Linked DNA regions of Oryctolagus cuniculus. The protein of the gene in region 1 interacts with the protein of each later gene in a biochemical or structural test. Links are inferred from orthologs where the notes say so. Each region holds a gene or a part of one and is shown in the gene's direction. Other genes may lie near its edges.

Evidence for each region.
Region 2: the proteins of RGS4 (region 1) and GNAO1 form a complex in vitro, tested with the Homo sapiens proteins (2 studies listed by BioGRID). The link is inferred for Oryctolagus cuniculus from reciprocal best matches to the Homo sapiens genes RGS4 and GNAO1.

The regions. Positions count from the first base shown.
Region 1 is NC_091438.1:35,611,031-35,617,100, reverse strand, and holds the start of RGS4 (regulator of G-protein signaling 4), read left to right. Parts: upstream 1-2,720; 5' UTR 2,721-2,840; coding exon 2,841-2,884; intron 2,885-5,620; coding exon 5,621-5,725; intron 5,726-6,045; coding exon 6,046-6,070. UniProt on the Homo sapiens protein: Inhibits signal transduction by increasing the GTPase activity of G protein alpha subunits thereby driving them into their inactive GDP-bound form. Activity on G(z)-alpha is inhibited by phosphorylation of the G-protein.
Region 2 is NC_091449.1:40,102,543-40,108,437, forward strand, and holds the start of GNAO1 (guanine nucleotide-binding protein G(o) subunit alpha), read left to right. Parts: upstream 1-2,548; 5' UTR 2,549-2,639; coding exon 2,640-3,113; intron 3,114-5,895. UniProt on the Homo sapiens protein: Guanine nucleotide-binding proteins (G proteins) function as transducers downstream of G protein-coupled receptors (GPCRs) in numerous signaling cascades.

The DNA.
Region 1 (6,070 bases):
TTTCTGACTCCTTCCACTGGGATAAAAACTCCACTAAGTGGAGACTTGCCTGCTTGTTTACCATGTATACAGTTTCCCAAAGAGTTCCTGGTGTAGAGTAGCTACCTAAAAGATATGTCTCAAACGAATCAATAAATACAAAAGAGATTTTTGAGAGCTGTGTTCCCCCATACTGTAAGAATCATCCAGGATGACAAATCATAGAATAATAGAATTAAATGTTTTGTGCATATCAGAGAAAGGAGGGGGAATGTTGTCAAGGTAATACGATGTACCAGTCCCCGCCTCCTCAAACACAATCAGCAAGGCCCATCGTGAAAAAAAAAATATTAATTTATGAGATGCTTTTGAACACTCTTTAAAAGTATTAGAACTCCTGAGAACATGAGAAGTCATAGTCAAAGGAATAAATGAATAAGAAATGCTAGAATAAAGTAATGGTTAATGTAATGAGGGCTGTAGCAGCTGCTGCTTCCATGAGGGAGGGGAAAATCGGGGCCTCTTTGTGTGAAATATATGAAGTTAACACTGGGGGCTCTGTTACCTCCTGTGCATAATCTAATAATAAAAAATGATTTGCTTAGCACTCTGCAATTTAGAAATATCTCTGTTTACACAGTGTATCTCGTTTGACAAGACTGTTGAGTGATAGGAGAGTCCTGTAGAAAATCCACATGACCTGGGACCAGGAAGCCAGTCTGGACCTGTCTCTCTTAGTAAGGAGCTGTGGCAAATCATTTCCCCTCTGCTTCTCTATTTTCTCCTTGGTAAAATGGAGGGGTTAGATCTGATTGCTTTAAAAATCCTATTCAGCTCATCTATTGCAACAATTTATATTTAACTTGTGACAAATGAGCTTCTCTTGTACTAGGAACAAGACACAAGATTCTTACTGTGAATTCTCAGACATCAGTAAATTGTTTCGGATCCTCACTCATTGTCCGAAAATCAAATCATCTGGGCACCCAGGTAAGCAGAGAAGCCCTGATCCATCTTTGAGTAACCGTTTCTCCCTTTTAATTAGTCTCTCCTGTCTGATGCTAATTTTGCCTGACTCATATCCCTGGGTCCATCTTTCTAGGTCTTACGAGCTCTCTTAATTCATGTGACACTGCAGTTTTTTCCACATTATCACCACGAATGGCTGCCAACTTTCATTTGTTTTGTGTTATAACTCAAGGAAAAGTTGTCCAGTAGCTAATCTAATAAATGTTCTCTTGTCTTCCTGCATGAAGGCCAAAGCTTTTTCCTACCATCTAAATGCATCCTCTGAAGATTATAGTCCTTAGCCTTTTTATGTTTGTTTACCATCTCTTTGCTAGCTGGGGAGGGGGAGTGGAGGCAGCTTGAGATTTTCAAGGGCATGAATGGGGGAAGGGGGACATACAGGTACAGCTCTTTTCCATTTTGCATTCTGTCTTCGCACTCTCTTTGCATTCTACTGGCTCCCATCTATTTTTCATCTTTCCCACCTGAACTACTTGATATCTCTGTTTCTTCTAAGTAAAGCACAGCTCCCTGTAGCTTGCGGTCAGAAATCTACCTGCTTTCAAAATGAGAGCTGTCTGGGTCAGACTTGGTATTTAATTTCCCCCTTGTACTCACAGCTTTCAGATACAAAGAAGCACTCTCTGCAGTTCTAGTGTACATGAGCTATGATTGTAAGATACGAAACACCTGCATGATTCTTTAAAATATTCAGTCTATGATATTACATGCAAAAGATACTAATAGTCTCGGTGTTCAGAAGTACCTGCAGGGCAGAATATTCTTATGCTAACCCTGAAGCCAGGTAATAGGCAAAGCAAACCATATTTTTCTGCCTGCCTGCTCTCTGGAGCATTTCTCTTTCTCTGTCTTTCCTTCTCTCCCTCCCTTTCTTCCTCTTGAAATACCAATTTAGAAGCTTAGAATTACATAAGACATGAACACAGTTGCTAACAAGAATCAGTATCTATATTTATTCATCTCCTTGCTGCCCTGGACCTCAGGCTGCTATTTGAGGCTTTTTGCAGGAGGCAAGCATGTACAGGAGAAATTGTCAGTGCTGGGCTGAATTCTGTTCTTAATAAGAATTGGAGCAAAGTATTCTACAGTCAGTTTGATGACAGATGCAGCAAATCTATTTCTCCTGGGCCAGCTTTTCTATGCTGCCAGGCATATTCCTGTCTGCCATTTAGCTATTTCTCCCCACACCTCCGTGTGTCTTGCAATGGAGAAATCATCTCTCGGAGACGATGATCCTCCCACCTGCCTTTTGGAAATCGAGCAGGTCAAATATTGGGTCACATACAATGTGATGTTTCTCATCCAAAAGAGAAAGTGTGTTGAGATTCAACCCCCAAAGTGTGCCTTAGAATTCCTACTGGCACCTTTCCGTTCCGGAGGCAATGTTGTCCCTGATACTGTTTTTACAGACAAAAGAATAAACTCCCATATTTTCCAACACTGTAGACTTTTATTTTTCCCGTCTCTAGAAGTTAAAAATCACAGACATTTGTAGAGATATTGAGTCACTTTTTTCATGTATGTCTATTTTGGAAGAGGATTTTCCCAGCTTGTCCATTTTGCATGGCTGATGCGTAAGTCCTTTCTTCCTCCTGCCTTCCAGGGGCTGGAGAGGCAGAGGAGACAGGCGCTGGTACCGCAGAGCTGTTATCTGATTGGCTCGTCGCTCGTGGCCGGGCTATAAAAGAGACCCCTACAGGCCTGGAAAGGAGAAGCTCAGGATTCTGGCAGCATCTTTGCAGGAGTGAAACCGAAGCTTGAGCAAAACAGAGGCCACAGCTCCTCCTGCTGCGTTTCTTTCCTCCTCGGCGAATCCCACGCTGTTAGACAAGATGTGCAAAGGGCTTGCAGGTCTGCCGGCTTCCTGCTTGAGGAGGTAAGATTGTTTTCAGCTACTAACTACGTTCAACTTTTGGACAGACTTTCTCAGTTACTTGCTAGTTGTGTTTACTAACCTGGTTCTTTGGAGTAGCAGTCTGATCAGGGGAGAATATTTCCCTGGATTTTCTCCAAGAATAACTTGATTTGTGACTTAAGAACTGTGCTTCCCAAATTCTGATATTAGTGTGTTGTTTCATGTGACCTCAGTTTTGAAAACTGTTGTGATCTTTTAGCCAAGTCCTCTAACTAAGCTAGTGCTGATTAAGAATCATATGAGGTGTTGACTCTACTTGCTGTATCTGTGATCACCTCCATTATGTGAGCATACCTGGATAATTGCAAGCACTGTGACTCTCTGAAATTCATTTAGGGGAGGACACCTCGGAATGAACTTGTGCTACATCATCAGAAAGCCACAATGCTTTCTGTTGGGGCTACAGTATCGTTCTATATTCTCATAAACAAATGTCACAATGAAATAGTTTCTATGCTACATGTCTCTTTTTTTCTCTGTTCTTATCTCTCATTCTTAAAGTGTCTTATGTGAGTGGTAGTTAAGGAGTATTGATTATAACAAGTCATCTGAGGGTTCTGTAGAAGAGCTCATCCTAAAGAGATTGTTTTGTCAATATAAAAACAAAGACTTAAAAATATATAGCTACTCTTCTGTCTTTTTAAATAGGCGTAAGTAGATGATTTCAGAAAATGCTAGATATTCATCAGTTGAAAGTAAAATACAAAATGAGAGCGTATTACATCACTTAATCTTGCAGCTAAAGGTAAAAAGTCAATCTGCAAGTGTACTACCTCTTTTCTTGTCTCCCTGCAAAGAACAATCACCTTACATTTCAATTTGGAGTTAATTCCAAGAAGCATAATCTTTTGTGTGTTTTGAAGCCATTTGCCTTTCATTCAGAAGCAGGACAGTATTGATATATTCTCCGTAATGAAGCAGGAGGTTCTGGTAGAGAGTACTGATGGGATAAATACCTCTCACCTTCACCATTAATTTCCTAACTGGATAGAGCAAGACCATCCACGCTTCAGTTAAATCACATATAAAATTAATCATGCAAAATGCAGAAGTGTCAGGGAAAAGTTATGCTCCAGTAAATATTTAGTGATTCATAGATGGGAGATTGTGCTAGAGGTCTGCCCTTGAGGCACTGAGCAACTGATTGAGAAGGTTAAGCTCACAGTCAGTAGGTAGCTGTTCTTCCCCTCCTCACAGGGGAAACGTCAATCATCTAGTCCAGCACTTTCTCCAGCAGTGCCCGAGCTTCCGGAGGGACTTCCCACTGCCCGGGGTGTGTGAGTGAAGATCACATCCAGTTCCTCATTCCAGTGACTTCTGAAGTGATTTTCGTTTTTATTTGTACTGTTTTATTACGTTAAAAGGATACTTTCTGTGCATACTCTCAACTCATTAGGAAATGACCCTACACTGGGCAGTCAATAGCCATGGGATCTCAAACAGAGGAGGCACATGGTAGTACGGAATAATTTCTATTTACATTGACTCACAATACACTCATGCCATCACCTTAGAACCACTCTAGGCTTCAGGAATATATCTTGCTATCATTAAGGAGAATTTCCCAATCCCTGTGCAGTCACCAGTTGAGAAAGCAGAGAAAGGCAAATAGTCATGTGAAGAAGAGAAAATACCATTTAGGGGGCAGTCCAAGGACCTAATGGAATTCAAACTTTCTTGGGAAGCCGACATAGATAAACCTTTAGTATATCAATAACCATTCTAAAATTTCTTTTTACCCTTTATTTCCCCCCTACAAGTAGGAACACTTAGCTATCCATTTCTTTTTAAAATCATTTCTCTTTTTAACTATTTTGTAGCTTTTATAGTAAGAGATACAAGCAAAAACATGGTAGTGTAAGAGAAGAGGTAAAAGCTTATCTCTGGGCCTCCTTTTTGAGCTACTGAGGAGTACTGACATAGCCTGGTCACCTATGAAATGGCAATACACCAGAAACTCTGCCCGCAATCGCAATCACTAGTTTCAGGAGTGATTCTAGATGGCTTCTTCAGTGTATAAATATTAAAAAAGAAGGCAATAGCAGCACTATATTGTCTGGAAGAACTAATCTAAAGGAACGTGGGTTTCACCCTGAGCATTTGCGTTAACCACTCCATTTCTGAAGCTACACACCTCAGTATGTACTCCATATTTACCCCATAACACATATTTCTTGTTCCATCACATATTTGGATGGAAAGAAAGAGACCCTTAATTTCCAAAGGAGCTTCTTACTCTGCCTGCAAGGAGACAGATGACAATAGCAACCAACCACCAGAAGGGGGCGTGCAGCAAAAAGGTGTCGAATTTTGCAGTTACTGCTGCTTTCTAACTCCTAAAAATTACTCAAAGAACAGTCATGTCTTCTTGTGTGGTTATATTGATGATACCAAGTGTTTCATTGTTGCACCAAAATGGCATGTGTACAGAACGGGCTTCTAAGACAGATTGAAGGGTCAGAATTCCAATTATAGATAAGTAAACCAGTGTTATGACTCTCATCTCAAGGTTGTGCATTAACTCATTGGCAGAAACAAGTGTTGCTTTCCTGAGAATTAATGCCAACTTCATCTCCTATTCCCTAAATTAACTGTCTCTGCACTATATGCTACTAATGAATTCTTCAAGCCTACCACTAGGTGTCTTAAGACAGGTGGTTACCATCGTTAATTCCCTTGCTTTCCTCTTCTGTGCAGTGCAAAAGATATGAAGCATCGGTTGGGTTTCCTGCTGCAGAAGTCAGATTCCTGTGAACATAATTCCTCCCACAGCAAGAAGGACAAAGTGGTTGTTTGCCAGAGGTAAGAGAAATGGCCTGGATGAAAGCCCATTGAGTTTTAACTATCTGAGTTTAGAGAGTTGTATAAGAAAAGAAGGAAAGTATGCCCCTAGTTAAGCCAGATTTGGATCAAGATGGCCCCCATGTTCATGGAAATCATAACTACATTGGAGATTTTTTCCCACATATTTACTGAAAAAAAAAAAACATGATCTAATCAATAATAGAGCTGTTCATGATGATAAAAAATAAAATCTCTACATTTTATTAAGTCTTAGATTGCTTGCCCCAGTTTTTTGTATCATAAATTCAAACTATTTTTTTTCTCTGTAATGTCTCTAGGGTGAGTCAAGAGGAAGTCAAGAAA
Region 2 (5,895 bases), on another chromosome or scaffold:
CCTCTGGGCAGGTGCACTCAGGCCAGCAGGGGGCAGCGGTGACACAGGGGGCCACAGGAAGGCCTGTGTACTGCTCACAAGACTGTCTCCTGAATCCCACCCAACCACCTCATAGCCAGCACATGGCCAGAGCCCAGGACGCGTGCCACGCCAGTCCTGTGGGAGCGAGAGGGCACCTCATACACAGGAAACTCAAGTCCAGCACATGGGCGTTTGCCCAGGATGTGTCTGGGGGGCGGGGACCCCGGCACCAGAATGACCATGAGAGGTGTAGCGGGGGCGGGGTCTTCCCAGCGAGTGGAGTCATCACCAGCCTTAGCAAAGCAGAAGGCAAAACAGGGCTGTTGGAGGTGCAAATGCCAAACAAACGGCATACCCTTGACTGGACCTCAGAAGTCACCGACTTGGCTGACTCAGGTAACTAGAAAGCCCCAGCAGCGTCAGGCTGCAGGCACAGCTGCATCCTGGCATCGATGCGCTCCCTCCCTCAGCTCGGCCCTCTCAGCGCCGGCTGCACGCTCAAGCGGTCCCTCCCTCCCTCGGAGAGTCTCTCTTTGCTGACAGTTCCTGCAGGTGTCCAGGTGCGGGCAGTTATTCACCTAATCCGACAAACGTGGGATCCTACTGCTCAGAGGCCAGCAGGTGGATCGGCCGGGCCTGGAGCATGCATCCACACCTGGGATCAGGGAACTCGGGCCGCCCCAGCCGAGCTGCTTAGGGAAGTTTGGTTTGGAGTCAGGTGCTTCCCTTCCGAGAGGCTCAGGCTTCAGGGGGATGGAGAACCAGTGCCTGGCAGAAAGGGTGTCGGCAGGGGCGAGTCCTGGGCGCCGCCTCGAGGCTGCTCCCTGCCCGCCCCCTGCAGCACTGCCTGGTGGAGAGCACGCAGGGCTGCCCGAGAGGGCACGGGTGCAGCTCCCGTGGGTCACATCTGGAGTCTGTCCATTAGGGCTGCTCCAACGAACTACCACAGCCTGGGGGGCTTAGAAACAACACGACCCCCCCTCATTCTGGAGGTTGGGAAGTTCAAGGCCAAGGTGTGGGCATGCTTGGGTCTGGGGAGGGGCAGCGCCCTGGGGCCTCCGGTGGGGGCAGCAGCAGGGCTCCCTCTGGTGCCTCTCCCGAGGGCACACATCCCACCCGCGGGGGCTCCACCCTGTGACCTGCCCGCCTCCTCACTGGGGTTAGGGTCGCAAGGTATGAATTCCTGGGGGACACACTCAGACCCCAGCACCCAGCGAGTCTGCCCTGGCCGCACTCCTGTCTTTAGTCATAGCTCAGATGCCTGGACAGCAGGTGTGCTCTGCCTCAGGGGGAGTGCACAGCGGTGCACAGGGGCTGTAGCAGGGAGGATGCTGGGAAACACCCCCTGCTATTGGCCCAGGAGGCGCTCGGGATGGGAAGGCCGAGCTCAGCAGGAGCCCTGGCCCCGAGGCATGCAGATAGGGGGGGGGGGACGAAGGCCTCCTCTGGTTCTGTCCATTGCTTGTTAGGCTGGGCACTAAAGCCCCCCTTCCCTTCCAAGCCTCCCTCCCCCTTGCTCAAGGGGCTGGGCTGAGCGCCAGGGAGGCCTCAGTGCTGGCCTCGGGTGACCAGGCCTTGTCTGAGACACAAGCCCAGGGCTGTGGCTCGGGATGCCGGGGAGAAGGTGGACTTTGAGTCCAGGCCCTCCTGTTGACTAGCTGTGTGACCCTGAGCGAGTCACCCACGCACACAGGGTGCCCACCCCAGTAGGGCGGCTGCGATGTTGAAGTGAGATGCCAGCTTTGTCCAGACCGACAAGATAAGAAGAGGCAGTGGACAGATGGGGGCGGCGGAGTCAGAAAGTGGGGCGTGCCTGGCCTTACAGTGCAGGAGATCTGTTTGCCCTGGCCATGCACAAAGCACTGCAAGGCCCAAGGTGCCACGTGAGGTCGGGACACAGTCCCTGCCCTGAGGACAGGTGCAAGCAGCAGCAGCTGGGACAGGAATGGGTGCACCCTGTGGAGCAGCTTGGCCTGGGGCCAGGGGAGGGCTTCGCTGAGAAGGGGACGCTGAGAGGGAGGTGGGCTGGGGCTGCCCCGGCTCGTTTGGGGAGCGGAAGAAGGACCGGAGCTCTGAGAGGGTTTTAGGACACAGAAAGAGGCAGGGACTTCGTAAGGCCTCAGTGAGGAGTTTGCGAGTTAGGAATGATGGGAACCTATCGGAAGAATTTAAGCAGGAGTATTACTGTACCCATGAGGGTTAGGTTTGACAGTGAACCAGAGACCCTGAAAATAGCGGCTTTGAGAAGATAGAATTTTTTTTTTTGACAGGCAGAGTGGACAGTGAGAGAGAGAGACAGAGAGAAAGGTCTTCCTTTGCCGTTGGTTCACCCTCCAATGGCCGCCATGGCCAGCGCGCTGCGGCCGGCACACCGCGCTGATCCGAAGGCAGGAGCCAGGTGCTTCTCCTGGTCTCCCATGGGGTACAGGGCCCAACCACTTGGGCCATCCTCCACTGCACTCCCTGGCCACAGCAGAGAGCTGAAGATAGAAATTTAAGTGGACAAAAGAAAAACCGTTAAAATAATGCCGGTCTGACTCCAGATAGTGCCGCACCTCCTCCAGCCAGGCTGGTTGGAGATCCTTGTCCCACTCTCCCTAGGATCGGACCTTGTCTTCATGATGCAAGTCGGCTGGAGAGCTCCAGCCATCACACCCAAGTTCTGGGCGTTAGGAGGAGGAAGTAAGAGAAATAGGGTGCCCCTTCCCTTTAAAACCCGTCGCTGCCTTTCAGCGTACATCTCATTGCACAGAACCAGTCCCAAGGACGCCCCGCTGCAAAACGGGAAATGTAGTCTGTGGCCATCAGTGTGTTTCCTTCTTGGGCTTCTTGTCCGGAAGGAGAAGGGGAGAGTTGATGTTAGGAGGAAACCGACAGCCTCTGGCCTGGCGGGAAACAGAAGAGAGGCAGGACGGAGGCACCACACCCCGGACCTGGGAGGCTTCAAGGCGGATCGGTCCGGCAGGGCTCCAGGCCTATGGGTTCCAGAAGCTGGGCCCGTAGCGGTGCCGCCAGATGAGGAGCAAAACAGGAAGCCGAAGGGTGCTGCCGCACAGGACCACGCCCCGGCCCCTGCACAGGGCAATGAGGAGGTGAGGCAGGGAGGAGGGCTCTGGCCCACGGGCTGGGCGGCAGAGTCCAGGAATCATCAAATGCAGCTCCCCCCGCCCCCCCCCCCCCACCGTGGAGGGCATCCATTCCAGTCGCCCCTCAAGGAGCGAGCCCAGGAGCAGAAAGCACAGAGTTGAAGAGAGAACCACACTGCCCCCGTAGCACCATGGCTCTGGGGTGCCCAGCGGGGGGTGTTTCTCCCCTGGCACTTGGATGCTGCCGCCTTCTAACTGGGCTGCCCGAGACCCTGACAGCGGGGCCCCAGGAGGAAGCTTGGAAGACTTGGCCGAGTCTCTGGCCTGGGACAGCACCAGACTGCCCGAGGTCAGCCAGGCACCGGGGGGCAGGGTGGGGGCAGTGCCCTGACTCACAGGCCTCGCTCTGTTCCTAGCCCCAGGTGCAGGCCCCACCCCTGCTCTCCAGCCCACGCCTCCCTGAGTCACCACTGCCTCCCTGAGGCACCCAGAGCCCAGGCCCCACGGCCACCTTTCAGGTCACCACCGCCAGGGCAGGCACTCAGCAGCCCAGTGCTGACCCTGGGGAGCCAGGCTGTCTCGTTGGGCAGCCCCGCATTGTCAGCTGGGGGTGACTTGGGAACCCAAGGGCTGGGCATTCAGGACGCTGTCCCCAGGGAACCGGATTTGAGTGAGCAGGGTTGGCGTGTCTGGCCAGCCTCCAGGCCAGGGGCAACTTCCTTCCCTGGGCAGGCAGGGGCACCACTGCCACAACCCTTCCACTGACCCTGTGCCGTGGACAGACCCTCCACCTGAGTGGCTGTGTGGCCAGCAGGCCTAGAGGGCTTTGCCCCACCCCTTCGATACGGAAACCTGCTGACCACACGCCTGCTGACTTCCCTCCCTTTGTGTCTCTCCCGCCCTCAAAAAAGGCCTGTGGGTTTTCAGTACCTCCCACTCGTGTCCTGGGCCGTGTAGTCTGCCTCTCCTCGGCCTTCATCGGCGGGCTCGCAGTGGACCAATCGTCCAGTGATAACCACTGCACCCAGCCCGAGGACAACACCTCCACCCCAGAGGGCCTGCCGCCCCACTCCCAGCTCCTCCATCAGGTGTCATTGCCATCAGAGGTGTGGGCCCTGACTGCTCTCAGCACGCATAGCTCTGCCCCCAGCGGCGGCCGTGGAGGCAGAAGGCTCTGAGTCTCGAGTGCCAGCTCTGCCAGTCGCACCGTGGCCTTAGCCGAGTGCCTTCCTCTCTGGAGCTCCGAGGCTCCCCACCTATCAAATGGGGATTACGTACTTAGAGTGCTTGGCACTGCTGCGGCAATGCTAACAGGCCTCCCCAAACTGAGTCACTGATTCAGCTGAGGATCAAAGACCCAGGGTGGGTTCAGCTCTGTGCCATGCACCCCAGCTCCTCTTTCTGGGGTGAATGGGGAAGGCTGGGCAGGTTCACAATGATGATATAGGCCCCGAGTACACGGAGACCCCAGGGCTGCCTTAGGGACAAGCTGCTGCCCCCACGCCGTTCCGTGGGCCACGGCAAGGCCTGTGACTATCCTCAGAGTCAAGGAGATGGGAACACCCTCTGCCTCTAGGGAGTGCACCTGCAGAGATTCAGAGAGGGCTGAAGAAACATGCCCATTGCTGCAGCTGCCAGCTCCCTAGTGAGGAAGCGGAATGTGGGGCTGGCGCTGTGGCACAGCCAGGAAGGCTACCGCCTGTGAGGCCGGCGTCCCATGTGGGCTGCTCCACTTCCCACCCAGCTCCCTGCTAATGGCCTGGGAAAAGCAGTGGAAGATGGCCCAAGAGCTTGGGCTCCTTGCCACCCACGTGGGAGACCCGGAAGAAGGTCCTGGCTGTTGTGGCCATCTGGGGAGTGAACCAGTAGATGGACGATATCTCTCTCTGTCTCTCCCTCCCTCCCTCCCCCTCTCCCTTTAACTCTTTCAAATTTAAAAAAGGAAGCAGAATGTTTGTGCCCAGAAGCCCTTTTTGAACCGTGAAGTGCCGTGTGTGTGTGCAAGTGCCAGAGATGGCAGCTGTGTGACTTCCCCCAGAGCCTTGTGAGTCTCCAGCAGGTTTACTTACAGCCGCTGAAAACATGAGGGGAAGGGAGAAGAAGCCCGTGGATTATGCAGAGCCTTTCCTGCAGGCCCAGTGCTGTCCTTGCCTGCACAGTGTACCTAAAGCAGTTCTGCTACAGCCCCTCCCAGAGGGTGGGCCACAGGTCACAGAGGAGTCAGTAGGAATTCATCCAGTCGTTTTATTATGTACACACATACACACACACACACATACACACTCACACACACATGTGGTATGGCTTTGGTGCAAAGTGCATCCTGGTACCTTGTAGAGCTCTATTGTTATTATTTTAAAAGGCAGAGTAACAGAGGCACAGAGAAGGAGAAAGATCTTCCATCCACTGACTCACTCCTTAAATGCCCACAACAGCCAGAGCTGAGCTAGGGTGGAGTCAGGAACCAGGAACTCAGTCTGGGTCTCCCACATAAGCGGTAGGGGTCCAAATACTTCAATCATCGTCTCCCCCCTCCCAGGGTGCACATTAGCAGGAGGCTGGCGGGGAAGCACAGGCAGGACCCCAACCCCCGGCACTCCCATGAGAAATGCAACTGTCTCAGCTTAACCTGCTGCATTGAAGCTGCACCAGACACCAGCCCCTTGAGGTTTGAAGGTGACCTGAGGGCTTTTCACCAGGTGTGCTGGCTTGACCGCTGAGCCCTCTGCCCCGCCCACCCTGAGGTCCCGGGCTACTGTGACCCTCAGTTAACTTTAGCTCTCAAATA